2 linked regions of the Diceros bicornis minor genome follow. The protein of the gene in region 2 interacts with the protein of the main gene of each other region in a biochemical or structural test. Links are inferred from orthologs where the notes say so. Each region holds a gene or a part of one and is shown on either strand. Other genes may lie near its edges.

The links.
Region 1: the proteins of TEK (region 2) and ANGPT4 form a complex in vitro, tested with the Homo sapiens proteins (2 studies listed by BioGRID and IntAct). The link is inferred for Diceros bicornis minor from reciprocal best matches to the Homo sapiens genes TEK and ANGPT4.

Annotation. Positions count from the first base shown.
Region 1 is NC_080758.1:29,007,263-29,022,182, forward strand, and holds the start of ANGPT4 (angiopoietin-4), read right to left. Parts: upstream 7,051-14,920; 5' UTR 6,910-7,050; coding exon 6,601-6,909; intron 1-6,600. UniProt on the Homo sapiens protein: Binds to TEK/TIE2, modulating ANGPT1 signaling. Can induce tyrosine phosphorylation of TEK/TIE2. Promotes endothelial cell survival, migration and angiogenesis.
Region 2 is NC_080761.1:48,410,765-48,425,729, reverse strand, and holds the start of TEK (angiopoietin-1 receptor), read right to left. Parts: upstream 6,491-14,965; 5' UTR 6,417-6,490; coding exon 6,365-6,416; intron 1-6,364. UniProt on the Homo sapiens protein: Tyrosine-protein kinase that acts as a cell-surface receptor for ANGPT1, ANGPT2 and ANGPT4 and regulates angiogenesis, endothelial cell survival, proliferation, migration, adhesion and cell spreading, reorganization of the actin cytoskeleton, but also maintenance of vascular quiescence.

The sequences.
Region 1 (14,920 bases), on a different chromosome or scaffold from region 2:
GGGATGGGCACTGGCCATCGGCCGGTGTGTCCCGGGTACTCCAGTGTGGACAGAGCATGCGGACACCTGGGGAGGTAGAGGTGGGAGGGACAGATGGCCTAGGGGGCAGGGGAGGACCTGAGAGAGAGACAGGGGTGAGACTCACGGAGATGCCAGCCAGACAGGAGAGAGAATCCGAGTGACGGAGACACCTACAGAGTCAGAGAGGTGAGTCAGCGCCACCATGAGAGAGACCCGCAGGAGGCAGAGAGATGCGGAGCTGGAGAGAGGCAGAGACAGACAGGGAGACAGGTAGAAAGGGCCCGGTGCCGATGCAGGCAAGAGAGTGGGGGGCCCCACAGTTTCGGGGTTCAGAGTCTTCCCTGCCCCTGAGACCCCAGAGACTCAGAGGAAGCTGTGCTGCCCTCGGGTGCGGGGGGTGGGCTGGGGTGCCTGAGGGTTTGTGTCAGCCCTGGTGTCCTCACTTCCCTCATCTGCAGAATGGAACCCTGTGGGGGGCGTGGGAGAGGGCAGAGTGTGGCACCTCCTGGCGGGGAGACCTGGGTAGCTGAGGGAATGACAGGAACATGAGGAGCCTCCACTGAGCGCCTGCTGTGGGCAGATGCTCTCCCGGCTCTGGGAGAACATCTCCCAGACGGGAGATGCTCTCCACAGACGAGGCACCGAGTGCCAGATGGGCCCCGGGAGGCCATGTGACTAACCACTGAGCTGCCAGGCCCAGCTACAGAAGCCTGCTCTCCAGCTGGCTCTGTCCTCCCACCCCCTCAACATTCCTGGCTGTGGGTTTTCAGCTTTTCACCCAGATGAGGGGTGGAGCAGAGCCAAGAGCTGATGTGCACCCCACAACACCAACTCCAGACGTGAGTTACTGGGGCAGAGGCCTTCCAGGAGGAGGGGGAAGAGAAGGGAGAGAGGTGGAAGGAAGGGGAGAACAGTAGAAGGAAGGAGAGGGGGAGGGCTGCAGAGGAGAGTGGTAAGGAGGGGGAGAGGGAGCAGGCACCCTCTGCCCCCTGCACTCTGAGCACTGGCAGGAGGGCATCAGCCAGCTGCATGCTGGGAGGAGACAGTGGGTATCTTGGGATTCAGGAATTCTGATGCAGAAGGAAACAGCCCATTGTTGCTCAGATCTTGCCTCCGCCATCTCCTTGACACCCTCCAGAGTTAGGAGAAAGAATATGAAGTTTGGAGTGAGAATCTAGGCTGGCTCTCGCTGCTGTGTGACTCTGGCAAGTCCTTTCCCCTCCCCAGCCTCAGTTTTCTCACCTGGGGGATCAAGGAGAGGGGTTGGGGGCATGGGCTGGGTAGGCATTGGCTGCTGGGAACTTGCAACAGCGCCCCTGCACCCACCCAGATGAACGGAATCTTGCTGGGTGCTCGGTCTGGCCAGGCACCGCCCCCCTCCGTCATCCCTGGTCACCCCAAGTGGTGATGGTGATGATGATGATGCTACTAGATAAGAATATTTTGAAACTAGTTTTTTTTCTCTTCTGGGATATTATAGCAGAAGCCAAAAAGAGGCCTTCAAGTGTCAAAGACTCAGATGTGCCCAGACCAAGAGAATGCACGAGAGACAAGCCAGAGGAAGGTCACAGCCTCAGAAGGTAGCAGGCATCCATGACAGGGGCCCGGGGGAGTCGGAGGGATGACTGTTCACATGCTGTGTATCCCTGAGCCAGGGGCCACATGTCTCAGCTGGGGGAGGAAGGACCCAAGGATTGCAGGACTTGTGTTTCTATTTCTAGGAGAGCCTCTAACGGAAACAGCCAGCATTTATAGAGAATTTACTATATGTCTGGCACCAGGCTAAAGACTTCATGCACATCATCTTGTTAAATCCTCACAGAGGTGAGTAGTGTTGTCATCCCGTCTTATAGGCGAGGAGACTGACGCTCAGAGAGGTGAAGCAATTTGCCCCAGGTCACACAGCTAAGAAGGGGCAGGACGATTCTTTAATCCCAACAGCTGGGTTTCAGAGTTGGGGCTCTCACCTTCCAGGCTATGCTGCTCCCCAAGGAGGACAGGACCCAGGGAAAGTGCCTGCCAGGTGTGGTTAGGCCGATGGGTCTGATCTCATGGCAGGCTCCACGGGCACCGGGTGACCTGGCAGTGACCCGAGCACCAAGGGGCATGAAGGGAGCGCTTAACCCCAGGGGCCCCTTACCCAGGAGAAGTCACAACGAACAGCAGCTTGGACCCCACCAGCAACCAAGCAGGACTGGGGACCCCTCGAGAACACCATCTTGGACAGTGACACTCCCAGCCCCGAGGTTACCTGCCACCCTGGGACTGTCTTGATCAAGACCGAGCTTCCCCACCCGGGGGTGCAGGGCTCGAAATAGAGATGATGTTGAATTCAATAAAAGCCCATCAATCTACTGCATCCTTGCCCACATGGGCAACCTGACGTCATCCCGAAGCCTGACCTGCAGCCAGGCGGCGGCTGAGAGCAGCATGTGAGCGTCCTCGCAGGTCTCCCCGGCCACCCCCTGACATCCTGTCATTTTCTCCATTTTGCAGATGGGGAAACCGAGACTCGCTCATCCACAGCCAAGTGGCAAGTAAGCCCAGGGCTGGGATGTGAACTCGGGTCTGCCTGGCTCCCACAGCAGTGCTCTTTAGCCCCATGGCGCTCTATGGTGACCGCTGCCCAGGACTGTCAGGCTAGGTGGACAAACACCTGGAGAGGACATTCCACTGCCGGCTGAAGACGTGAGCTGGGTGGCCTTCTGACTCAAAAGCCACCGCTTTAAATCCATCCCTTGGGTCAGCCAGTGTTGCCCGAGCACCAGGCACCCAGGGGAGTCGCAGATGGTTGAGAGGGTGAGACTTAGGGTAGAGGAGCCAGGTGGGAGGTGACGAGGCCTGAGCCAGGGCAGCAGCCAGGGAGACAGGAGGATGGAGGCCAGTGAGAGAAGCTGAGGTGACAGGATGGACGGGACCTGCTACCCGGGGGTGAGGTGGGGTGAATGCCACCCCAGGAGCATTCACCTGGCTTTGGCAGCAGGAGGCCTGTTGGCTGGGTGGTAATACCTCAAACAGAGAGAGGTGGGCAGGGGAGGGAAGAGCTGAGTTTCAGGCAGCTTTGGAGTTGAGACACCAGGGGCCCTCAGAGGGGAGATGCCCGGCGGCATGGGGGTGTGGTCAGGGTCATGGATTTGGGGCTCAGGAGTCCATAAGATGCCAATCTGATGTCATCATGGAGCAGGCTGGAGAGGTGCTGCAGGAGTGTTGGGGACAGCCCTGGGGGCAGTGCCATGAAGCGTGGGAGGAAACGAAGCCTCAAGACTACGTCCTGGGAAACACGAACATTGCAGGAGAGGAGGAGGAGTGGGAGTGACCTGGGAGATTGGAGGAACGTCCATGAATCCGTGCATCCATGATCCACGCACCCACGCATCTACGCATCCATGCACCCCCATATTCACGCATCCATGCACCCACGCACCCATGCGTCCATGCGCCTACATATCCATGCATCCATGCATCCACGCATTTGACAGCCATGTATCGAGCACTACTGCATACCAGGCACTGTCCTACACCCTGGGAACCCAGTAGGGAACAACACAGATGTGGTCCCTGCCCCCTTGGAGCTCTCAGACCAAAAGAAATGCTTTTAAGAGTAGGTGGGATAAGTGCTAAGAGAGAAAACCAAAGCCAGGTGAAGGGACAGAGAGTGACAGGAGGTGACTATTTTAAATGGGGTGGACAGGGAGGGCCTTTCTGAGGAGGTGACACTTAGGCAGAGACCTGAGGGAGGCCAGAGGTGAGCCACGTGGGTGTCTAGGGGGGTGTATTCCAGCCAGTAAGGATTTTTGCTCTTCTTCTGAAGAGATGGGAGCCCCGGGAAGGTTTTGAGCAGAGGAGGGACAGGATCTAACTTAGGTTTTAATGGGATCTTTCTGTCTACCGAGTGAAGAACAGGCCTGGGTGGAAACAGGGCGGTGGCCGTGATGACCGTCGAGGTAGGAGACGGAGGTGGCAGGTCCAGGGTGGGGCTGTGGAGGTTGGGAAAGTGGTCCCAGTAGGTATGTTTTGTAGATGAGGACTTGCTGATGGAGACAGTTTCTGGAAGGATAGTGTTGGTCAGCAATGTCAAATGCGCCAAGAGGTCAAGTCAGATGAAGACCGGGCCATGGCCATGGGAAGCGGGAAGTGGATGGGGAGGCGACCTTCAGGGAAGGAGGCGGTGGGAAGTGAGGAGGCGGAAGCAGAGTGTGTGTACTCCTGAGAGCCAGGCCAGAAGTCCAAGCGGCTGTGGGTGGAGAAGAGGCTTCTTCCCCTCCTCTCCCTCTTCCTTTTCTAACAGGGGAGATACTGGGATGCGAGTAAACCCTGAGGCGAAGGACCAGCAGAGAGGGAGGAGTTGTCAGGCACACAGGAGAGGATGGTTGGTTTGAGGGGTTGCAGGGCTGCAGGGGAGGGACCCGCAGCCTAGGAGGGAAGAGTGGCCTTGGCCCATGGAGGAACCCCTTTCCTCTGGGCCAGAGAAAGGCTCTGGGGACTGGCAGGTGCACTGGTGAACCTGCAGTGTGGGGCAGCAGCTGAGAGGCGTCTCTCCCCTCGGCTCCATTTCTTGTTGAAGTAGGAGGCCTGTGGTCCGGTGAGAGGATGAGGGGGGTGAAGATGGAGGCTTGAGGAGGAGGAAAGATTTGGAATGACCCTTATGGGACTGGAAACAGCTGCCTGAAGAGATACACACAGATTTGAGAGCTCCAGTGTGTGAGGCCAAGAGCTCCCTCGAGGGGGATCTGGGGTGGGATGGTGGCAGGCTGGATGTGCTGCAGGGCAGCTGGGTAGAAGGGCGAGTGGGCAAGATGGTGAGTGAGGGGCTGAGGAGACAGTGGTCGGGGCAGGTATGAGATAAGATGTTAAGTGTGCACGCACACGAGTGTGTACACGAGTGTGCATGACACAGGTTGGTTAGATACGTTACGCCTCTGCATCTTGGGAACAGATCGTCTCAGGGTGTGCACAGGGCCATCCTTTGGAAAACAGGAGGAAACTACCAGACCTTCAATTCACATGATTTCTTGTCATCTTTTTTAAGTTCTATCTTCATATGTGTTGTACCCTGTACGTGTTATATGAACATGGGTCCATGTGCATGAATATTAAACAAATCTGCAGGCATCAGGGGAGCAAACGTTGTTTGCTGATTGGGAACATGATGTGAATAATTTGGAACCCGTGGGGTAAGAAGGGACTGCTCCTCAGAGAGGCACTGTGGGCTGCCTCTTCCTCCTCTGCTCTCTCCTTACAGTCTAAAACTCGCTGTCTGCTGGTTAACACATTCGAAGCTCCGGGAGCTGGTCCACTCCCCTCCCCATCAGCCGCCGCTCAGGCTGCTGCTGTGCCAAGTGCCCGGGCCCTTTCTCTCTCTCAGCAGCTGCTACTTAGGGGCTGCGGCCAGCCCCTTCTTGGACCCCGCAGGATGCCTTTTCTGCCCCCATGCCCACCCTTGGCTAAGCCCGCCTCCTTCACCTCTGCACCTCAGTTCCTCACCCCGGCTGGGAACACAGTGGGTGCTCAGAGTGTTTGCTAAGAGTGAGACAGAAGATCCTAGAGCGGCCTTGGGCCAAAATGGTGGTGGAGTCCTCAACTCCTTGACCTCTGCCACCCCATATCCAATTCATCAGCATGGCCTGTTAGCTCCCCCTTCAGAATACTCCAGAACCTGACCGGCCACCCCCCTCCCTGGCCCATCCCGCTCCAGGCCTCCATCATCTCTTGCCTGCGGCTGCAGTGGCCTTCCTCTTGGGCTCCCAGCACCCGTCCTGCCCCCTACAGCCTGTTCTGTTAAAATCAAATCAGGTGTGTCTCTCCCGGCTCAAAACCCTGCAGTGGCTCCCGAGATGCTCAGAGCAAGACCCAATGTCCTTCCAGTGGCCTCAAGGCCCAACATGTGCCCTCCCCTCCCTGGGCTCTCATCCCTCACCCCTTCCTCCCCCTCTTTCTCTGTCCCAGCCCCTCGGCTGCCCTGCTGTCCCCCAGGTGCCCGACTGCGTCCCACCTCACAGCCTTTGCTCTTGCTGTCCATTGCCGGGAATGCCTCCCCCAGATACCTGCACGGGCGGCTCCATCACTTCACTTGTTCTCTGAATTCAAATGCCACCTCCTCCGAGAAGTCCTCTCAAATTACTTGACCTCAAATAGCCACCCCGGTCACTCCTTGCCCTCTACCCTCCTTCATTTTGCTTCACCATCTGACGCAGCAGGTATTCATCGTTCATCTCTTTCTCGCCCCTTTCCCCCACTAGTCCAGAAGGGCATGTACTGTTCTGTTTACTGTGTATCCTCCAGCATCTAGGATGGGCCAGGCCTGTGGTCAGTGCTCAGTGAATTTCTATCAGATGAATGAATGAATGGCTGTTAGGGAGCCAGGTTTCCAGTCTGACCCTGCCCAGTCTTGCTGTGTGGCCTCAGGCCCATCCCTGCCCTCTCTGGTCCTCATTATCCCAATCTGTACAATTCAGAGACAAGGGTCCCATCAGCCTGGCCCTCTGTGCCCAGGGAAGGCCTCTGGGGCGGACACGCCCCCTGCCCATCGAGACAGACCCCAGAGCCCCCCAGCACCCCCTCTGCAGGCCAAGCCCTTACCTTCTGCAGCCACTGTGTGTTGTTCTCCAGCACCTTCTCCAGCTGTCGCACCCGCTGGGCCGGCCAGTCCCCCAGGCTCAGTGCAGCGGCCGGCGAGTCCCTCTGGAGGCTGTTGGAGCCCCCGAAGGCCTCAGGCTCCGGCGGGCAGGGCTCAGGCTCGGGCAGCACGAAGGTGTAGCTGCACTGGCCATGCTGGACTCGGTGCGCCCGGCGGCGCCCGCCCGCCTCCTGCCCCCTCCGCTGGGCTGCAGTCATGGTGGCCACCGTGAGGAGGAGGCCGCCCAGCAACATGGCTGGCCGGGAGAGCATCAGGAGATGTGGCGATGGCGAGGGGTGTCCGGTCAGAGCCCCCAGGGGCTTTGCCTGCCCACTGCCCAACTCCGTGCCCAGGACGAACCCGTGTGGCCGACAGTGGACCGCCTGCCCGCAGGGCTGCAGCTGCAAACCACTGTTTGGCCGAGCTCGTCCAGGCGGCTATTTATACTTGCTCCAAATACCACAGCTGCTCGCTTCCTCCCACCGCCTCCTGCTCCCGCCCCCAGACACCCCCGCACCTCTATTTTCCCCCTTCCCTTCCTTCCTCTTCACTCTTGCCCTGTCCTGCCGTCCATGCACCGGCCGCCTCTGGGTCCTTTGATTATCCAGTGGGGGCCCGGCCTCCCTGCGAGAGGCCAAGACAGAAAACAACACACACAGACACGGGCGCACACACTCACACACACGCAGACACCCACCCCCCAGTGCTGTCCGCCTCGGAAAACCAAAAGCAACTGAAGCCTCTCTTCCTGTCTCTGTCTCTCTGTCTGTCTCTCTCTCCAGCCTCCCCCAACCGAGGCGGGGATCTCAAGTTTCAGCCCCCCACGCCACCCCCTCCTCTCCCCCTCCCCCTTCCCCCCTCCGGTTCCATGTTAGCACTTGGAACAAAAGCAAAGTGACCCCCCGGAGAGCGAAGGGAGGGGGCAGAGGGGTGAGGCTGGGGAGGAGGCAGCCAGTCCCGCCTGTCTCCGGAGGCACAGAAAATCCTCGAGAGGCCAGGGAAGTGGGCGCGCAGCTGGGAGCTGGCTCCTGCCCTCCCGTCCTCCCTTCTCCCTCGGGGCCTGGGGGGACGTTGGACTCTGGGGTGGCCCTGGCTCAGTTGCTGTGACAGTAATGAGAGGTTGTGCTGTCCTGGGGCAGACTGTTCCGGGGCCGCCTGTGGCTGGAGCAGGGAGGTGGAATGCGGGGAGAAGAGCTCGGGGGTGCAGCGGTCTCTCGGCCAGCCCTGGAGTCAGAGGTGGCTGGTCTAAATCCCGCTCCCAACTGCTGGCCGTGAGACCCCGGGCAGGCGGCTTCGCCTCTCTGGGCCTCCACATCCCGACCTCTAAGCCAGGCAAACCCCATCTCTTGCATGAGGAATGTACGTGAGTCCTAAGCATAGAGACTGAGGAGTTTTTAGTTTACTTGTTTACTGGTTCAAATCCTGGCTACACCACTTACCAGCTGTGTGACTTTGGGCAAGTCACTTAACCTGTCTGTGCCTTCTTTTCCTCTTGGTGAACTGAGGGAAATAATACCATCCACTTCACAGGGTGTGAAAATTAAGTGAGTCAGAGCAGTGCTGGCACAGGGTGAGCACTAAATAAAGATTTTTTATTGCTGTTGTCAGCGTCATAGTTATAGTGTATCTCCCCTCCCACAAGTCGCTGGAATGTAAACCCCACGAGGGCAGGGACTTGTTCTTGGGTGACGCGTCGCTGGGCAGGAGGCGCCAGGGAGTTGGTTGGGCCTCTCCTGGGTGGGCTGCCTTCCGGCTTTCTCTGCTCATTTTCCCAGCATGGGGGCCAGGCCAGCTGCTTGGTATTGTTTTTTTTTCCCTTTGTTTTCCCAAATGCTGATGGAATTTTGAACCAGGCAGGCTGCTTGGGGCGGCGGCGATGTAGAGGCTCATCCGGGGGACTGAGGACATTGTACCAGGTGTGTGGGGCTTTGGCAGGAAGAGGAAAGGCAGCTGGTTATCAGCCACTGGAGTTCCCTGAGCTTCCCGTGCGCTCAGAGCCCTGCCCGCCCGCCTGGCCTCAACTGTCTCAGCTGTAAATGGGGTCACCCCACCTCCGACCTCTCAAAGAAGAAGCGCGTTAATGCAGGCCAGGAGTATATCACAGAGCCTGGCACAGACGAGCCCCGAGGAGAGGGCGGCTGTCATTAGCATGCGTCAAGAGCCGTGTGGTATCCCGGGAAGGCCAGCGCCGCTATCGTCCCCATTTCACAGATGAGAAAACCGAAGAGCAGAAGAGTGATTTGCCCAAAGTCACACAGCATGTTATTTGACCCAGAGCTGAGAAGGTGGGCAGGCTCAGCTGCCACGCTGACCCCAGAGCCCCTCCCACTCCTCCCGGGTATCCCCGGGGCAGTGGGCGAGGACACCCACCCTTCAGCCTCAGTCTCCTCATCCGTGCACTGGAGAGGGCATGAACACCTCCTCTGGGGCACCAGGATGACAATGGGAAGCTCCTGAGACAGGCAATGCCTTTAATCTTATTGATCGAAAGAATGAATGAATGAAATGTAGTCTCCTTCCCTGCACAGGAAGGCTTAGCACAGGCTTAGTTAAACAGACATGGGCCCCATAATTATGCTAGCAGCCCTCTGCCCGGAAGAGGAGACAGAATTACCTGTCCACAGAAGAAATGTAGGTAGGATCCAAAGAAGAGTTCTGGAGAGCCTGGGATATGGCCCTGCCAACTCTGCACCTCCATTTCAGCACCTCCTTCTCACCTCAGGACCTTTGCATATGCTGCTTTCTCTGTCCAGAACACTGTTGTCTACCCACCCTCGCCCCCACCTTTCACCAGTGTCCCAGTTACTGTGGCTGCCAACAAATTACCCCAATAGTGAGCAGCTTAAAACAAACAGTATTGTCTCTCAGGGTTTCTGTAGGTCAGGAATTCGGGAGCAGCTCGGCTGGACGGTCTGCTCGAGTCTCTCATGAAATCGCAGTCGGGTGGTGGCTGAGCTGGGGTCAACCCACAGGCGTCTCCCCTCGCCTGTCAGCACCTGGGCAGCCCATGCCCACCATGGTGTCTTCAGGTGGTGTCTTCAGCTTGGGGGCTTCAGGCAGCCGGGCTTCCTACATGAACTCAGGGCTACAAATGTGCGCATCCCCAGAGAGCAGGTGGAAGTCACATCGCCTTCCTCTAGGACACCCTGACATCCCCTAGGCCATGACCTGGCCTTGAAGTCAATCAGTGGAACATCTACCACATTCCATTGGTCGGGGTCTGCCCAGGATCCAGGCAGGGAACACAGACCCCGCCTCTCGATGGAGCAGTGTCATCGTCACAAGAAGTCTCGCGGGATGGGAGGTGCGTTGCCGTAGCCATCTCTGGGAAGTGCTACGGCAGCAGAACTGATCCACGCTCACACGGGCCCTCGGCCCTGTGCAGGTGTTAAGTCAGGACCTCCCTCTTATAGTCCCCGCTTTATCCCGGCCCTTCTCAAGGGGCCGGGAGGGCCATCCCTTGTGCAGATTCTCATCTCTCTCTGTCTGTCCTCAGCGTTTGGTCTACAGTGTGTTCTCAGTCCAGATCTGCTGAATGAATGAATGAATGAGTGAGTGAGTGAGTGCAATGCCCGAGCCAGGCTCTCCCCGTTGGGCTGATGGGGAGCCGCTGTGGGGCTGCACTAACAGGGCACACCCGGGTGGACACAGACGCTGGGCAGCCTTGGGCAGATGGCTGACCACTCCAGGCCGCAGTGTCCTCTTTGTCTTCCGCAGTGTCCCACGCCTTCCCGTGGGAGGGCGCGAACAGGCTCGACCCACGTCCCCCCGAGATTTCGCAGAGGCCAGCTCTCGGGAGAGTTTACAAACTGCCAGGCCGCTGAGGACCTTTAACCCAGGTCCCAAAGCCAGTGTCCAAGGTGGCTTGGGCATAAGTCTAGCGCAGAGGCTGAGGGTTTGCAAAGTGACCTCTTGGCCTCAGGGGAAACCGGAACCAGCCATTCCCACGAGAAGCAGCAGGTGCCAAGGTGGCAGCAGGTGGGAGGAGCTGATGGCAGGACCCAGAGAGGGAACTGGGAAGGCGCCACCTGGGGTCAGCTGGTGAGCTCAGGGAGCCCACGTGCCGGTACCCGAAGGCGACACTGAACTCTGGACCCGGAACGGCTCTGTGTGTGGACTCGTGGCCCCGACCTCACTTCTGAGAACCAGACGCAGGACCACCCGCCTTCTGGACACGACCCCCAAGGTCTCAAACAGAACTCCCCATTTCCTACCCTCCCGACTCCGCCCCGAATGAGCTTCTCCTGGATTCTTCCATCACTGGCATCGCCCAGCCTTGACCAGGCACCAGGGACAGAAGCCTGGGAGCAGAGTTGCCACCTCTGCAGTTGCCCAGGGCCCCGTGCTGGGAAGGGTCTCATGCTTTGTTTAATGCTCTGCTGTCACCGTCCTGAGAGTCTTAATAAATTCTGAACAAAGAGTCCAGCGCTTTCATTCCGCACTGGGCCCCTCGAGTTATGCAGCCGGTCCTGCAGGGAGACCTGAGCATCTCGCTCCTCCCTTACCTGTCCCGGCCCTGCTGCCCAATCAGACCTGCTCTCCCAACGTGACCCTTCAAATATTCCTCCCACTCTTCATTACTCCGGGCACACCGGCGCCAGCCTGTCTAGACTGGAGTTCTGCTGTCCTGCCTCCCAAATGTACGGTCTTGGCCAATCTGCTTAACCTGCCTGTGCCTCAGTTTCCACTTCTGTCAATGGGGTTGATACTAGTCATTACCTGATAGGATTGCTAAAGGGTTGAAAAGCTGATCCCTGGGAAGGGGTTAACACAGAGCCCAGCATATGCTAAGTGCTCCATAAATGACAGCCAACCATGTCCTCATGTCCCCACTGTCACCCTCAGCCCGGGGCGCTCCATCTCTGCCGAGGGGACAAGATAGAACTGCACTCTCGTTGATCCATCTTGGATGCTGCAGCCGGAGAGATGTTTCTAAGACACAAATCCAGCTCCTGACTTTGCTTAAAACTCGTCAGTTTTAAACTCCAAGCCCTTGACGTGGTTTACAAACCCCTGCAGGACCCGGCCTCATCGCTCTTCCCTTGGACTCTGTACTTGTGATGTGGAATTGGTTTACTTCCAACACGCTCTCCGCTCTCTCCGACCTCAGTGTCTGCTCTTGTGGTGACGTCTGCTCGGACCATCCTTCCCACTTTATTCACTGGCTTCTTTCTACGTGTCTTTCAGGTCTTATCTCAGGCGTTACCTCCTCCGGGAAGTCTTCCCTCATCCGCCTCCCTCCTTTGGTGGGAACAGGCCCTCTACCTTGGGGAGATCAATGCCCCTTGCCTGTGCATCCCCCGTAAAAGCACTCACCCGCATTACAAAGGCCTGTTTGCAGGCCTGTATACCCCTCTAGACGGGAAACCCTTCCAGGGCATTGACCACACTTTCCCCTTCTGTGTCTGCTGCCTGTCCTAAGGTCAGGTTCATAGCAGGTTCTCATGGGTGTTTGTTGAAAGATTAGTCTCCACTAGAGAGTGGGGGCTGGAGCTGCAGTCCCCAAGTAGAAACTAAGGAAGTCATCCTTTTCTCTCCAGGGCAGGGGCAGCAGGAAGTTTCTGTTTGGGGTATTTCAAGTGTCTTGTCTCCAAACACTGAAAACAACCCCCATTCCCCCTGGTTTATTTTCCCTTTACTAGCCTGTTATTGCCTTGGAGGCAGAGCATGGAGAAAATGCATCTGGAGACTTTGGCTTTTGCTCAAAGGGCTTGGGCAAAAAGAGAGCTTATTGGCCAATGTAACCGAAAAGTGTAGGGGTGTCTAGCTAGCTTCAGGCATAGCTGGATCCAGGTGCTCAAATGATATTAAGAATCTTTTTTTTTTTCCTTTTTCTCCAGCTGTAGGCCCTTGTTTTCCTCTGTTGGCTTCATCCTCTGACAGTTTCCACCACCATCACCTCCACCACTGGCAGCAGATCCAATCTATTAACTTACCAACCCCCTAGAAATGGAGTGCTTTTTTCCTGATATTTTCGGGGAAAGTTCTGGCTTGGGTCACATGGACTTTCCCAAACCAACCACTGTAGCTAGAGGAATGGGATGCTCTGATTGGTCAGGCTTGGCCATGTGCCCAGGCCTAGAGTAGGGTCAACCTCATAGGACCCAAAAGGATTGAAGGAAGGGTAGGGTGGTTCTCAAGGGAACCTGGGGTAGAGTGACCAAGAGGGAGATGGATGTTGATGGGTGCAAAACACCTGCCCATCTGCTTCCCTATCCTGGCCACTCACCGAGTGAATTGGCTTCCTCTCCAGAGCCAGTGGAGCCTTGGCATGACCGTGGATGCCATTGATCCTTACCTTGCGGTTAGCTCATGAGGAAACATACCCAGAGAGGGAGGCGACTTGCACAAAGTCACACACTGGAATCTATTTTCCTGGAAGAACTGATCTTCCTGCTCCTGAGAACAAAGGCAGGGAAACGGGATGATTCCTGGAGAGTCACTTGCTGATTTGGGGCTCCTCAAGTATTTCGATCTGTTAAAAACAAGACAACAGGCTCAAAATGGAGTCACTTATGCTAAGACCCATGTCACCAAACCGAGACTTGATGCCTAACTTGATTACAGTTTCGGCTTTCCCAGGCATGGAATCCTAAACCAATCAATCAGGAATAACCTGGTCGGCACAGTGAGGCAATCTGCCTGACGGACCCCCGCTGTCCCCTAAAGGAAGGTGACTTGCCACAATCAGTCCGCTTTTTGCTGCTATAACTTCCTGGTCCCCTCCCTTCTGCCTGTAAGTCTTCCATTTTGCACAGCTCCTCGGAGCTCCTTTCTGTTTGCTGGATGGGACGCTGCCCAGTTCATGAATGGTTGAATAAAGCCCATAAGGTCTTTAAAATTTACTCAGTTGAATTTTGCTTTTTAACAGATCCAAAGAGAAGATTAGGCCACAAGTCTGAGTCTCCCACTCCTGGCCTCATCTCCACAATCCAGCACGTCCTCCAGCCCCTCCCTTTTCAGCTCCCTGCTTCTCAGCACCCAGGGCGGTAACCGAGGATTGCAAACCGGGCAGCTTATAGCGCGCCCCAGCCTCTTGTACTGCTCTGTTCACGTCCCCGAGGACAGTACCTGGGCATCTCCTGGGGCCACTGAGGGCAACGTCGTGAGGTCTGGCAGGAAGCTCTGGGGCAGCTGACAACCCTGGGGATGATCCATCAGTGTCCCTGGGAGGTCGAGGGGTGAATCTTGTAGAGCAAGAGTCACGGGGTCCCCATAAGACTTTCCACCCGAGGCAGTAGTCTGTTTGTCAACTGTTCCCCGTCTCCTCTTTCCTCCACACCAAACCCAGAGCCACAACACAACTGATGGATCCGAAAGGACCCCAGGCTGGGTTTTGAGGTCACCCCCGTGGCCGAGGTCCAGCGATTAAGAGCCCCTCACTCCTGGCACTGACTCCTGATTCCACTGCAGTAGGTGAGACTCGGTCTCCTCGTCTATAAAATGGAGAGGATGGTCTCCCGCTAGCAAGGCGTAGGGGAGAGTCTTCCAGTTCCCAGAGCTGTGTAGCAAAGTACCCCAACACTTGGTGATTTAAAACACTGGGAACACCTACTTTACTCATAAATGTGCAATCTTGGCCTGGGTCGGTGAGGACGGCTTGACTCTGCTCCGGTCTGCATCAGCTGCAGCCGCTTGAAGGCTGGAGCCCAGAATCGTCTGAAAGCTCACCCATTCACATCGCTGAGGCCTCAGCCGGGACTATCAGCCGGAACAACTAGTACGGCCTCTGCACGTGGCGGGGCTGGTTACACAGTGTGGTGGCTGGGTTCCAAGGGCCAGCATCTCAGGAGAGCAGGCTGGAGGCGTATGACCTTTCGTGACCTGGCCTCACAAATCACACAGGGGCGATTCCTGTACATACATTCATAGAGGCCTCACAAAGTCCCACCCAAGTTCCAGGGTGGGGGAGCAGGCTACCTCTTGATGGGGAGTGGCGAGGTTTCAGAAGAGCGTGTGGGCTGGGAGATGTTGTGGCCATTTGTGGAAAATACAGTCTGCCACAGGAGGGCAGGATGAGAAAACGACATTTCAGTATTTAGCCCCTAGGTGCTCGAGAGTTGGTAACTGTTATTATTATCCCTGCTATTGTTGGAAAGATCCAGCATCTCTTGGCATGAAAATGTCCTTCAGACCCTCTGATAATTTAAGGTGCAGCAGGAAGCAGGATTATTGCCATCGGGGCTGCCAGAGACATTGGCCCAGAGACGCCCTGGGATTCGTCCAAAGTCGCCCAGCATATCAGCGCCCAGTCCAGTCCCAGCCAGATGGGCCTCCAACACA
Region 2 (14,965 bases):
GCTATCTCCTCTTTCTCTTCCCTTCACTTAAATCTTGGTATACATCCATGCCCACGGCTTCACTTACCATAAACTAATGATTCCTATGTCTCAATCCCATGCCTAATCCTCTTCTTCCGAGCTTCAGACCCAGAGAGTCAAATTTTGCTCAATATCCCCCTTTACATGAAAACTCAAAATCAAAATGTACAAAATAATTATTTGCTCCAACCCAGCACATCTCCAGCAAGTCCTTCTGCCATATTTCCCAGCACGCTGAATGGCACCACCATTGCCCAAAACAGAACCCCGGAGCAACACTTATTCTCGCTGTTCACTCAACCTCCCATATGCAACCAATCACCACCCCTACAGTTTCACCTCCTACACACTCTCAATCCCCCTCTTCATCCCCTTCTTCAGTCTGCCACTTCATCCAGTCCTTCCTGCCTGGAGTATTGGGAAGCCAAATTGTTCCAGGCTTACGGTCTCTGCCACGCCAATGCATCCTCCACACTATGAGCAGAGTGAATTTTGCAAGACACAAATCAGACATGATAGAACAAACACCACACTAAATTTCAACATGTAGAGAATGAGGGACAAGCTACTTAAAATGGCCTACAAGGCCCTTCCCGATCTGACGCCAACCTTAATTCTCTACCTCCACCCTACATTCCAGCCTTACTCAACTTCCTTGAGCTTGCCTTGCTATTTTATACCCCCTGCTCCCTCTAATGGAAAGCTCTTTTTTCCCTTTTCCTTTTTATCTTCTTAGTGTTAAAATCATTTGGCTATGAGTAACTCATAATCATGATAGGCCATAATTTTTGGCAATATTCATGACTATTTAGGAGTTCTTGCAAAGTGAAGAAAATCTAACCTACAGATTGTTTTCAAATATTATTAATTTTATTCCTACTAAATTTAGAAACTAATAAAGTTGACATTTTTAGACACTTAATCATTTATGTTTAACTTAGATTTTAAAGTTTCATCTTTTATTACTGGAGCCAATAAAAATTTTTGTAGCTCTTAAAAAACTAGATTTTGTATATACCCCTATTATATCATTTATCACAACATCTTATAATTCATCTGCCTGTAGTCATCTTTCCTACTAAAATGTGAGTTTAGCAAGAGGAAAAAATGACTCAGCCTTTGTTGTATTCCTGGTGTCCAGTCCAGTACTTAGCACAAAGTAAGTCCTCCATATGTCTTCACTGATTGACATGAGAGTTGAATGAATGAATGAATGAATGATAGGCAGGCAATAACTCATTAAATGTCTACTGAATAAAAAGTATTCATATCTTTTGGGTAATAGTCAACAATTGTACAATACCTAATATTAGGTAAAGTCCTGGTTAAACCCAATTTCATGAGTATATCTTTTACGTTTCACACCAAAGAGAAGAAAGGGATTTTCTTTTGGCCTTATTTACATCAAATATTTAACATAAGCCAACTTTTAAGATATGAGTGAATAGTACTTGCAATGTTTATGAAGTTGATTTATTACTATTGTTGTTATTATTATTTCAACATGGCTAAAACTCTTTCCACAATGTTCCCTCTTTCTTTCAGTGCTGCTGTGGCATCCCAATAGTTTCTTACTATGGAATATTAAACTCCATTCAATAAAGATTACTGAACATTAAATGCACGCACTATGGAGAATAAAAAAGAAATAATATCTGTTGTCAAAATGTTAGAGGCTAATTGGGCTAAATCTATGTGTCCAAAGCTCAAAGACATGGCCTGTGTGGAAGAGAATTCAGAATTAGGGGAAGGACATCATGAGGAAGAGTTGGCCTAGGCAAGTTGAGTTGAATTGTGTTTGCAGAGTGGACATGGAGAATGTCATTTCCAAATGGATGGAACAGCGTGAACAAGAGCCAAGAGGAAAGAATGCAAAGATTGCAGAGATGGGCCTGGTTGAAGTAGAATGGCCATGAGCAGAGATGAATGGATAGGTGAGGGGAGGCACTGGATAGTAGGCCAAGTGTTCTGGCTTCTCAAGTGGTGAGTGACCAGCAGAAAATTTGAGGAACTGGATTATGTGGAGGTCTTTTAGAAGGAGACTGCTTCTATGAGTAGTAAGTGACTCCCCTACATCTTATAAAAGGTTAGATCAGTCTTGAACTAGCCCAGTGGTCCTAACAGAAACACTTCTCTTTTGATTACATTGGCTTCATTTATTAAGAGAGTTCTTACTAGTGAAGCACTTTACATGTATTATCACACTTGATGCTTGTAACAACTCTGGGAAATAGGTATTCCCATCCATAAAAGATGAGAAAACTGTGACTTAGAGAAATCAAGTAACTTGCCCATGGTCATCCAGTTTAAGCTTAACCCCAGGGCTGTGACTTCACAATCCATACCCTTAACTTCTCCCGCATTCTTGATTAGCTCTACCTCAGTCCCACAGAGCAGTGGCTTCAAAAGAGTCATCACTGCCGGCCTGGTGGCGCAAGCGGTTAAGTGCTCGCGCTCTGCTGCGACGGCCCGGGGTTCACCGGTTCGGATCCCGGTCGCGCACCGACGCACTGCTTGGCAAGCCATGCTGTCACAGCATCCCATATAAAGTGGAGGAAGATGGACATGGATGTTAGCCCAGGGCCAGTCTTCCCCAGCAAAAAGAGGAGGATTGGCAGATGTTAGCTCAGGGCCGATCCTCCTCACAAAAAAATTTTTAAAAAAAAGAGTCACCATAGTACGTGTGCATGTGCCTTTTTTTTTTTCTCATAAGGCATGTTGATTGAGTCAAAATTCAGTGTAAATTGATCATATTTGGGTCTGCACTCAGGAAACACACCAGTTTGATTTTGTTGGGCAAAGATCTTTGTGACTTTTCTGAACCCTTATCCACCTGCCCAGTGATCAGTGAGGAACCACAGACAGTGAAATGAAAAGGATGTGAAAGGCAGTAAACATTACACTCCAGATCCTCTTTTCACATCCCTAATAGATGATCATCTGACCTTTGCCTGAACACTCCTCCTCGTGGAGGCGACGATTCACTTTTTAGATTTCCATCAATGAAGTCAAACTCTGTCTTTTGTGCAACTCCTTCCAACCCTGGATCCTAGATTTGGCAAAGTAGAATGTCAATCAAGGATGTCCTTTATATGGAAACCCTTACAAATGCTGCTCTTCATCTCTTTTCTACTGGCTAAATATTCCCATATGACATGGTTTCTAAAGCACTTACATTCCTCTTTGCCTACTATGCTTGCTATCAAATTTCTCAGTGTCTTCAGTGTTTCATGGACATGCCCTGAGCAATAGTGTGAAGTGAAGTGATTACCATTTCTAATTTGGACCTTATGTTTCTACTAATGCAAACTATTACAACTCATATTACCTTTTTAGCAAGCAGAGTGTGTGTTGGCGCCTATGAATTTTGCGTATCACCAAAGCTTGGGTGTCATTCACTATGGTCTCTCTCACATTGAATATAATTCATTTATTGAGCCCAAATGCATAACTTGATGTTAATCTATTTTGAAATGGTATTTTAGTGTTTGGTCCCATCCTTCTAGCCTAGAGACACATATTTAAATCCTGATTCTGTGCTCTAACCAACAAGCCATCTACAGGGAATAAGTGACACAATCACATACATATCTTTTTAGCGGTAGAGCCCCAGGAGACAAATTGATAATGTCAGAAAAATTTAGGGCCTACCCATCTGAATCCCCCAGAGGACATAGCATAGTCTTCTGAGATGGACTTGGAAGAGTCCTTCCCTCCTGGACGGATGTCTTAGAAGAATTAGACCTTGCAGGAAGCTCTCCCAGGGTAGGGCTGAAAGGGCAATGCTGAGACTTCCCAACAAAGACAATGCTTAGAAGGGAGCATCCGTGAAGAAAGAACACTCCTCCCTCTGAGAATAATTCCTAGGTGTGTCTCTCATTCCAGCTTCTAGATCTCCACCCTTGATTACTCAGACTTGATACTAGCCTTCCAAGACCAGCTCTAATGAGGAGGTTCCATCTGGGATCACTTCCCTGACCTTATAACTAAATTTTCTCTGCCACTCCAAACAAGCTATCCACTATCTCTGAATCCAGTTTGTTATTTAGAATGTCAAATGAGACAGAAAAGAAGGCATGCTACTAAAGACTTCCCACTAGATTGTGTTGATTGCATAGGACATAGGATGATAAAGCAGAAAGAGTGATTTGTTTCATTTTGTTTTTCTGTATATACGACTCTTGAGAGAAAGCAGCCTGGTTTGGTGAGAATGGAAGAGTAGGGAAAAGCTAGTGCGTTTATTAGAACTTGTTGATAAGCTGAAATTGGCCATGATTCTCAGTTGGGAGGAGAATCTACCAGAATTTAGGTGGGTTTGGGGGAAGGCTTCTGAAAACTACACACCAACCCTTTTATGGGCCAGCATTTGCCACCCAGAGCCACCTTCATGGAGGCAAATGTGACATATTTTTTCAGTTCTATTTGTTCAGAAAAAAGGAATGAGAAACAACCCACTGTACTAGAGAGATAAACCCACAAGCCTTAAGTCCCTTGCTCCGTTACTGTAGTCCACCAGTGGAGTTTCGTCTGAGGAATGGACTCTTCTGCCTGTAGACATGAGCATGCTGGATTCTTATTATTGCAAGTACCAAGCCTTGGTTATTCATGTTCATGGGGGCTTAGACCAGGAATGTAAGTTAGGATTCAACACAACAGACCTACCCCAGAAACAACCTTGTTAGTGTTACCCTTCCTTTCCAATAAGAGCACGAACCCCTTTCCTTGGGCCTCTCCCTGCTGAAGTCAGTGCTGTATTTACAGTGAACTGAGGTCTAGACATGGAGCAACTATTTTGGCCACATAACTTTTTTGTTTGATTTTATGACAGCTCCTCTGAGCCTGTATTGCAAAGTGCTATAACATAGTCACTTTGAGGAAAAGTGAATTAAAACAGTTGTGTGTGTATGTGTATTATTTAACCTAAAAAGTACCTCAGAGCAATTGTAGACCCGTGGGCTTTGCATTACTATAATCCCTAGGATAGAACCAGTTACAGATTTCATATCATGTATAAATAAGTCACACAGAAAAGAAGCAAACCCAAAATAGAATCATGATAATTATTTGATTTAAAGGTGCATATTATTGGAGAAATCAACATTTCTACATTAATATAGACAATTTCTACATAAATATTGAAACCATCTCAGGTAATCTTTCATTTTCAGCAATTTGTATTACACATTCTTAGTTTTAAAAATATTATTAAATCCTCAATATAATTGGTGGTTGAAAGCAAACTGAAGAGCTATAAACAAATTACATACAATTCTGTTATCTTATTGGATTAATTTTTTGAATATTTAATATTTCAAACATGAAAAAATATAAAAATAATATAGCAGATACTTCTGTGTATTTGGCTAAAATTCTATTAATATAATATAGTCTGCAGCGTTAAGTTCAGTAAATTTTCCCAAGTTCATTTCCAATATCAATTCTATTTTCAGTACAATAATTAGAATGCTTTCAAAGTGAAGGGGAAAGATTGATGGCAATCATGGTTGTGATGTGCACTTCAGGTTTTGATACTCCTTTCAGCCAGTGTCCCATAGGCTGAGGGAACAGCAGAGACATGCCACTAGCTAGAGAATCTGAGCAACAGACACACTAAATCTAACAACATTCAGGCCAACCATTCCTTAGCTCCACAACAGGTTTCAATATGCTCCCGTGCCCAGTGATCTTAGTGACTGCCTAAACTTTCATTTCACTGGGCCAATAAAGACTTTATGAATTACTGTATGCCAAGTATTTTTTAAAACAAAACAAAAATTATATAGCCCTAATCTCCCTGACCCCAACTATAAGAAAAAACAAAAAGCCTAGCATTTGACTGCTTTGATTAAAACTGTATGTTGATACGAAATCTCTATAGAAAAGGATTTTTGTTCTCATTTAAAAATGACAATCTGTACGCTGCCTTAAGTAGGTCCCCATAGTTCTCAGCATGAATTTCATTTTTAAAAAATTACTGAAGATTTTCTTTGGAGCAGGTAAAGCCAAGTTTCTTCTTTTTTAAAAAATAAGGAAATAATCCCAAATAAGGAGCAATAAAATAATGCACCACAGTAAGCGTGTCTCTTCAAATAAAGTGACCTAATCAGTTCTCATAGAGTCTGTGGCAACACAGGGGGCAATTATCCAGAAGAGAAAGTCTAGAAAAATTAGTTCATGCCACAAGGACTTTGAATTTCAATCCTTAAATACATTAAACAGAGAGTCACAGAGAAGCAGCCCCTATGCCACAGCTGCCCCTTGTTAACCAGCACTAAGAGTTGGTGAGAGAGCCCAGAATCACTAACTGTTTGAAAAAAACTAAATTAAAAAAGCCAAACCTTACCAGAAAGGAGCAAGCTGACTCCATAGAGAACTAAGCCAGCTAAAGAGTCCATGCTTCCCCAGATCTCTCCATCCAGTTTCTGCAGATGTGCATGAGGTCCCAAGGATCCTTTCAAACACCCAGAGGTTTCTGACTTTCCATTCGCATGTTTTACCAGGTCTTGTTTACAAGTCAGAGGCAAGAAGGAACAGCACAGAAGCAGGCTGTAACAGTCTCATTTCTGTCTGAGCACAGGGAGTTTTAAGTTCCTTTTTCCTGTTTCCTTTGTAGATTAGGATGGGAAAGGCTGTATCTTAAAGGCATTTGGTATCAGCAGGGCTGGGGGCAGTGCGAGCCCTCTCCATCTTGCAATTCATCAAAACACTTATCTATTGCTGTTGCTTCTGCTGCTGCTTTTGCTGCTGTGGTTGTAGGGGTAGAGGAATTTTTGTTGGAAGTGTGGGTCCTGGTCAGCATTTTCAGAAACAATAGGGGTATCCTCTCATGGGCGGGAACTGAGAATAACAAGCCCTCCACCTATGTATGGTATGCGATGATGATGGCCCCTCTCAGCCTTCTAACAGCTCTCCCGGGTCCACTTGGGAGCCCTGACAGAGGGGGCTTTTGGGTGTGGGAGCAGTTTTTGCTTTTGTTTTCTCATTTTAACCCACATGGTTTGAATTGGGAAAAGTTTTGCTGATGAGAGAACACAACCCGAAAGGCAATTAATTTAGGTAATTACATTTAGGTAATTACATGCTCAATGTGGCCAGAGACCAGAGTCCAAAATTGTTAGTCTGTTTTCTTTCACACAGATGGTTATTTGTTGGCCAAGAGCCCAAAGATATCCATGCTACTGGGTATAACTTTAGCTTTTATTAACAATTCATCTGAAGGTGATCTAATTTCTTAACAAACTTGGCATAGAAGTTAGTAATGAAAGGGATTTTGTGGCTATTGGCCAATGATGTTTCAGAAGCAAATTCTATCCAAAATTTTGTAAATAACCTGTGTAAAAACCAAATATAAGTGACTGGACTGGGATAAAAATATTCATAAGAGCAGAGAGAGTACATAGGCCAAAAGGAAGATAGCCATTGGAGTCACCACACCTAAAATGAGAGCAGAGACCCTCAATTTATCCAGATGGCAATTTCTCTATAACACAAACTATGACTGCAGAATAGAGTTGATATTCTGTTCATGCCTGAGGAAAGAACTGTCTACTCCTCCTTTTCCTACTCTCCATAGGAGAAGGTAGATGCTGCCAGTCTTGCCTCATTTCTGTCCCAGGTTTTATCACATCAGTGAGAATCTTGAGAACCAATTGATGTTTCCGGTGTGCTGGGATAAAAAAGCTCCAGCTCTGTTTGCAAGCAGACCTAGGTTCAAATACCGGCTTGGCCACGTGTAAGACAAGTTATTTAACCTCTTTGAGCCTCAGTTTCAACAGCTGTAAAATGGCAATAATATCTCCATCATGGGGATTTTTGAGAGGATTAGATGAGGTTTAAAAATACATAAAGACATCTGGCACTGTGCCTAATTCATAGAAGGCTTTTGTGAAATGTTAACATACTCATTTCCTCTCGTCTTTCCATTCTGTCTCTGATTTCAGTCCCAGACCTTCCGCCAGAAGGCCATTCTCTATTCCTACAGGACGGCTTTAAGTTTGGCATTGTGAAGAAGCAATCCAGGAGTCGGGGACTCTGGGTTCTAGTCCCAGCTCTGCTGTGATCTGCCAATGAGGCCCTGGGCAAGTCATTTCCCATCTCTAGGCTTCAGTTTCCTCAAGTGTAAAATGAAGGGTTTAGACTGGATATGACTAATTTCCCTTCTGATTGTAATACCTCCTAAGTCTGAATGACTATATTGTCCCACTCTCAGCATCCCCAAGTTGATTCCTAGGTCCCCTGATCTGGGAAGTTCCAAGAAGATGCTAGCTTTGTATCTCTGTCACTATGAAAGCCTGAGTGGGTCACAAATGTGCTCTATTTTAAGAACACCGTGGCTGAGACTTCGTAAGGGGCCACTGGCCCAAGGCCATATGGAGCAGCAATGAAAGGCCTTGGCAATAAACAAACTCCAGGGCACCTGCCTCCCCAGGCACAGCTTCCTCTGTTTGTGCTGGATAGCCACACAAGGAAGTTGTCATTGCTCATAGTCTCTCCTGTTGGCTACTTCTTGTGGGCTGAAGGTGTTACTACCTTGCTTCCTTTTCTGGGATGCCTGCCTCTGTTACCTAGAAAAGTGGCTCCATTTTACCCTTCCCCTATTATCCAGAATGATCTATCCTTACCCAGAATTGTTAGTCATATTCTTCCTCTGTCCATTATCCAGAATGAGTGACTACATTTCATTCTTCTCTCTATAATCCAGAAATGTTGCTCAGTTTAATTTATTTCTCCATTATCCAAAAGAGTATGTAGTTTAATCTCATCTTCCAGGATCCAGAAAGATTATTCCATTTAATCCTTTCCACCGATATCCAGAATATTGACTCCATTTAATAAATATTGCTGGATTTCCTGAGCCTATGACTATACAGCTAGTCAAAAGGCTGAGCAACTTTTCTCTGGGATGTCTAAATCTTCAGTAGGTACGTTCCAGGTAAAGTGAAGATACTTTGTGGACAAAAGTACCCAGACATGCTCTGCTCCAGCTTTCTGCTCTATGGATCTTATAGAACGTGGAGAACCAATCAAGGAACAATGATATGAGCTTCACCATGCATGGTGAGGCCAATAGGTCAGCAGAGCTGATTGGCAACAGGTTGGGAAGTTGCAAAACTGGATGGCATGCCAGGATTTCCAAGGGAAGGGAGAGGCCACTTCCATGTCTGGACAGGACTTTCCCCAATACATAACGTATTAAGGAAATACCACATACTTGGACATGGCCAAAGCTGGCTGTGGCCATCATCAGGGCATCTCCATTCCTTGAAGAGCCTTGTTGGGGACCAGCTGGATCAGCTGTCTACCCTCAACTGCTCTATCCACCTGGAAAGTTTGAAATGCTCTTTCCATCCTTGACTGACTAACTGCTAGTTATCTTCTAGGTCTCAGTCTGAAAGGTCTTCCTTGACCGTTCAATCCAAACTAGGTCTCCCCTGTTGTTCTCTCACAACACCCTGTAATTTTTTCATGGTATAAATCACAACTGATAATCATATATTCATATCTTTATTTTTTCAATGTGTCTTTCCCCCCAGTTGACTACAATCTTCATGATTCAGGGACCATATCTAATTTATTCACCACTGAAGTCCCAGACCTGAGCACAATGTTTGGCGCAAAATAGCTCTTAAATAAATACTCAGTGAACTGATAAATGAAAATACTCCCATTGTTACTCATATACTCATACCTAGAAAAGGCTTTGGAGTCAGGCAAACCTAGATTGCATGTTGTAGCTGTAGTTTACTCACTGTATGAACTGGGCAGTTTAATTCACATCTCTGAACCTCAGATTCCTCATCTTTAAAATGGGGGAAAATAATGCCTACTTAGGGAGATAATATATACACGGTATCTGGCACAAGTATGTATTTAGTCAAGGCTCTCCACGGGTTCCTTCCCCATCCACAGCCACCAGCACCACCCCTGGACTGTTCAATAGAGCTATTTGCAATTAGGAAACGAAGTCCTACACAGGCTAAGTAACTTGCTCAGCTGTAGGTACCAGAGGCAGTATTAGAATCCTGGTCTTTTGGCCTCCAATTTTTGCAAGTTTAATATATGGCTCTTTTTTTCATAGTTCACCTTTAGACCACAGTGTGCAGAAGAGTAGATAAAGAGAAATGTAGGAGACATCACAAACACCAAGAGAGTACACCCAGGCCTTAGAAGGTATTTGAAATGAAACTTTGACAGAAAATGGAAAAGTTCGATGACACTGAGAAATGCCATCAGTTCTCATTGTGCTTCCAAAACAGTAATCACTAATATCAGGATCTGTGGGTCTCCACTGCCTTGCTCCAGGGAAGTGAAAGGGGGCTTCCTCATGAGTCAAGCTTTTCAGCTTAATTTGATTTTTCCAGACACAGAGCAGAACAAAAATAAAAACAAACCAACAAACGAGCAAACAAGCACTTGGCTGATATTTCATTTTCTAGTCTCTACTTTTTGCACTTAATATATGAAAAGTCATCTACAGGAAACATTAAAAGTTTTTGGGACAGATTAACAAAAATATCAACAGATAATAAAAAATGTTTGTGAAGAGGTTTGGAAAATAACTTATACAATGTTACTGTAAACTAGTAACACATGTCTAGAGGTCAATATCACAGATATGTAGCAAAGGCTTAGATGCATATCCTTTGGCTTAGAAGATCCATTTTTATGATATACCCTAAGCTCAAATCAAAGATGTGCTCCCAAATATACATATAAGGGCATTATAGAAGCATTGCTGATGATAATCAAAACCTCTAAACAATCTAAAAGCCAACAAACATGGATTATTTATATAAATCATGGTACACAGTGAAATACCAGACAAATGTCAAAATGTTGTTGTGGAAGCATATTGACATGGAAAGATGTAAAGATATTTATGGTATATTGTTGATTGGAAAACAGTTTGAACAGCATTAAATTTATACACATACACACACGCACGCACACACACATATATAAAATAAATATACACCAAAATGTTAAAAGTTATCATTTCTGGGTCTTTGGAAACTGATAATTTTTATTTTCTTTTTTATAAATTTCTATAATTGCAACACTTTAAAAAATAATGAGCATATATGTACCAAAGAAGAAGATTGGGGGGAAATCCTTGAGACAGCTGACCCAGGGCACTGGGCTGTGTCTTAAAACACCCATTGGTGGGGCCGGCCCAGTGGCATAGCGGTTAAGTTCACACAGTCACAGAGTTCACAGGCCCGGATCCCGGCTGCGGACCCATGCACCGCTTATCAAGCCATGCATCCCATATAAAGTAGAGGAAGATGGACATGGATGTTAGCCCAGGGCCAGTCTTCCTCAGGAAAAAGAGGAGGATTTGCAATGGATGTTAGCTCAGGGCCAGTCTTCCTCAGGAAAAAGAGGAGGATTTGCAATGGATGTTAGCTCAGGGCTAATCCTCCTTACCAAAAAAAACCAAAAAAAACAAAAACACCCATTGTCAAATAAGACACAGAATCCAGTGCACCTCAACCTGGAAGAGGTGAGTGAACAGATCGGGGTGTGAATTCCCCACAGCGTAGCCTTGGCTTCTGCCTTTCACAGGGCTGTGGGCACTGAACCTCCCGAGCCCTCACATCTGGCTTCTTAAGGACTGTCATGAGCCTTTTTGTGAACCCGCTGTACTCAACAGTGGCTAGCAGAAAAGGAAGGGGCATCAACAATTAAGCCTTGGCCCTCAGCCAGGACACCACAGTTAAGTGGCAACACCCACTCTAGTCTGGAGTGGAGCTGATGGCTATGGAAAATACCTGACCCCCTCTGAACCCCATTTACTCGAAACCTTTTTTTTTTTTTAGTATCTAAATGGCAAGCACCGTGCTAGTCGCTGTAGGAAGAGACACAGATAGGGAAGATGTGGTCTCTGCTTTTGAAATTCAAAGTTACACAATCCCAGCATGGCACAACGCATCAAAACAGGAAAAGTTAAATAAAATTAAGCATTGTGTGGCTAAATACCAAGGGGTGGTACTGCAGTAAAAGTTTTAGTAGTATTGGCTTTGGTATCCTTTAGGCCCTGAGGCCAGTTCTAATGCCTTTTTTTCTTCTCCTGGCATTTGCCTGGCATCTTTGCAGATAGACTTTACGCTCCTTGAGGCAGGGGCTCTGTACTTTATTTCAGATGATCCTGTGCTATTCTCTCAATGGCTTAAGGGAAAAAATAATTAGGACACCCCACAACCATCATGAGACCTATTTGCCAGAATAGACTGGGGGTATTTCCACGACACCCTTGCCAAAAAAAAAAAAAAACCTTCAAAAAAAGATACAAATAATAAGAAAAGAAAAAAGGAAAAGAAACGCCTATTCATTATTCATCCTTCAAAATACCATTCAAATGTCTCTTCATCTGTGAAAACTTCCTCAAATAGGTAGACATTGATACCTAATAAACCAGCCCAAACTTAGCGGCTTAAAACATTTATGTAGCAGCTTGAAACAAACATGTATGAAGCTCATGATTCCGTGGCTCAACAGCTCAGGCTCACCTGGACAATGCTGAGTTTAGCGGGCCTCCCTCGCGTGTCCGCAGTCAAATGTCAATCCTTCTGTAGTAAACTTTCAGGGATGGGCAAGCTGATGGGTTCTGTGTGGCAACAGGGTTGAAGGAACCACAAATCTCTCATCCTCTATCAAGCTAGGCTGGCTGTTATTAGGGCAGGCTCAGAAATCCAATGGAGTGCGTGGAAATACGCAAGTTCTCTTGAGGCTGTTAAATTAATTAAACAAGGAGGCCTTTAGACTGAGGGGCTGTAATGCTGTGGCCGCCCACATGAAATCAAAATATCATTGGCCTATCATTACTTCTGCCACATTCTGTTCGCCAAATCAAGTCACATGGCTAAGACTAGATTCGAGAGGCGGAAAAATAGACTTCACTTTTGATATGAAGAGCTACAAAGTTATAATGCAAAGAGCAAATATTTTAAAAAATGAAGATTTTCAGTCATTTGTAAAAAGTCAGATTTGTTGAGATATAATTTATATTCAGTAAAATTCCCCCCTCCCTTTAAAAAAACCGTGGTTTAAAATACATAACATAGAATTTACCATCTTAACCATTTTCAAGTGTACATTTCAGTAGTGTTAATTATATTCAAGTTGCTGTGCAACATATGTCTAGAATTTTTTCATCTTGCAAATCTGACATTCTATACCCATTGAATAACTCCCGATTTACCCCTCCCCTCAGCTTCTGGCAACCACAATTCTTTCTGTTTCTATGAGTTTGACTATTTTAGATACCTCATATAAGTGGAATCATACCAGCATTTGTCTTTTTGGCTTATTTCACTTAGCATAATGTCCTCAAAGTTAATCCATGTTGTAGCTTGAAACAGGATTTCATTCTTTTTAAAGGCCAAATAATATTCTATTGTATGCATATGCCACATTTTCTTTTTCTTTTTTTTTTGGTGTGTGAGGAAGATCAGCCCTGAGCTAACATCCATGCCAATCCTCCTCTTTTTGCTGAGGAATACTGGCCCTGAGCTAACATCCATGCCCATCTTCCTTCACTTTTTGTGGGATGCCGCCACAGCATGGCCTGACACGTGGTGCATCGTGCAAGCCTGGGATCTGAACCCCGGCCACCAGCAGCGGAGCGCACGCACTTAACTGCTACGCCACGGGGCTGGCCCCTATGCCACATTTTCTTTATACATTCACCAGTCGATGGGCATTTGAGTTGCTTCCACCTTCTGGCTATTGCGGATAATGCTGCAATGAACATGGGTATGCAAATACCTCTTTGAGATCCTGCTTTCAATTATTTTGGATATATATACCCAGAAGTGGGATTGCTGGATAATATGATCATTCTATTTTTAATTTTTTGAGGAACCTCCATACTATTTTCCATAGCAGCTGCACCATTTTACTTTCCCATCAACAGTGCACAAAGGTTTCAGTTTCTCCACATCCTCGTCAACACTTATTATTTTCTGTTTTTTTGATAGTGGCCATCCTAATGGGTGTGAGGTGAAAATGCATCCTTTTTAAGCGTACAGTCCTATGAGTTTTGACAAATGTATATGTTTGTATAAACACCACTCCACTCACCCCAATTTCCATCACCCCAAAAGTTCCCTTGGGCCCCACTGCAGTAAATCTCCTCCCCCAACCCACAGCCCAGGCAATCACTGATGTTTTCTGTACTTATTGTTTTGACTTTTCCAGAATGTTATATAAAGCGATCATAGTAAATAGATTTTTGAATCTAGCTTCTTTCATTTGGCATAAATCATTTGATAGGTTCATATATTTGCATGTTTTAGTAGTTTCTTTTTGTTCCTGAATAGTATGGCATTGTATGGACATACCACAGTTTATATATTCATCAGTTTGTTTATCTATTCACTATTTGGAACATTTCCAGTTTTTTTTTGTTTTTTTTTTTTAATTTTATTTATTTATTTTTTCCCCCAAAGCCCCAGTAGATAGTTGTATGTCGCAGCTGCACATCCTTCTAGTTGCTGTATGTGGGACGCGGCCCCAGCATGGCCGGAGAAGCGGTGCGTCGGTGCACACCCGGGATCCGAACCTGGCCGCCAGCAGCGGAGCGCGAGCACTTAACCGCTAAGCCATGGGGCCGGCCCACGTTTCCAGTTTTGAGTGATTATGAATAAAGTCCCTATAACATCATTCGTCTGTATAACTTAAGCTGTATATCATTTGCATATATATATTTTGTGTAAACATATGTTTTTCATATCTCTTGGGGAAACACTGGGGACTGGGATTGGTGGAATATATAAGTGTATGTTTAACTTTATAAGGAACTGCTAAACTTTTCTGTTGTGGCTGTACCATTTTGCACTCCCAACACCAACATACAAGAGTTCTCATTGCCCTCCATCCTAGCATTTGGTATTGTCAGGTTTTTAAAAATTGGTTTGTTTTCCAGCCATCCTAATAGGTATCT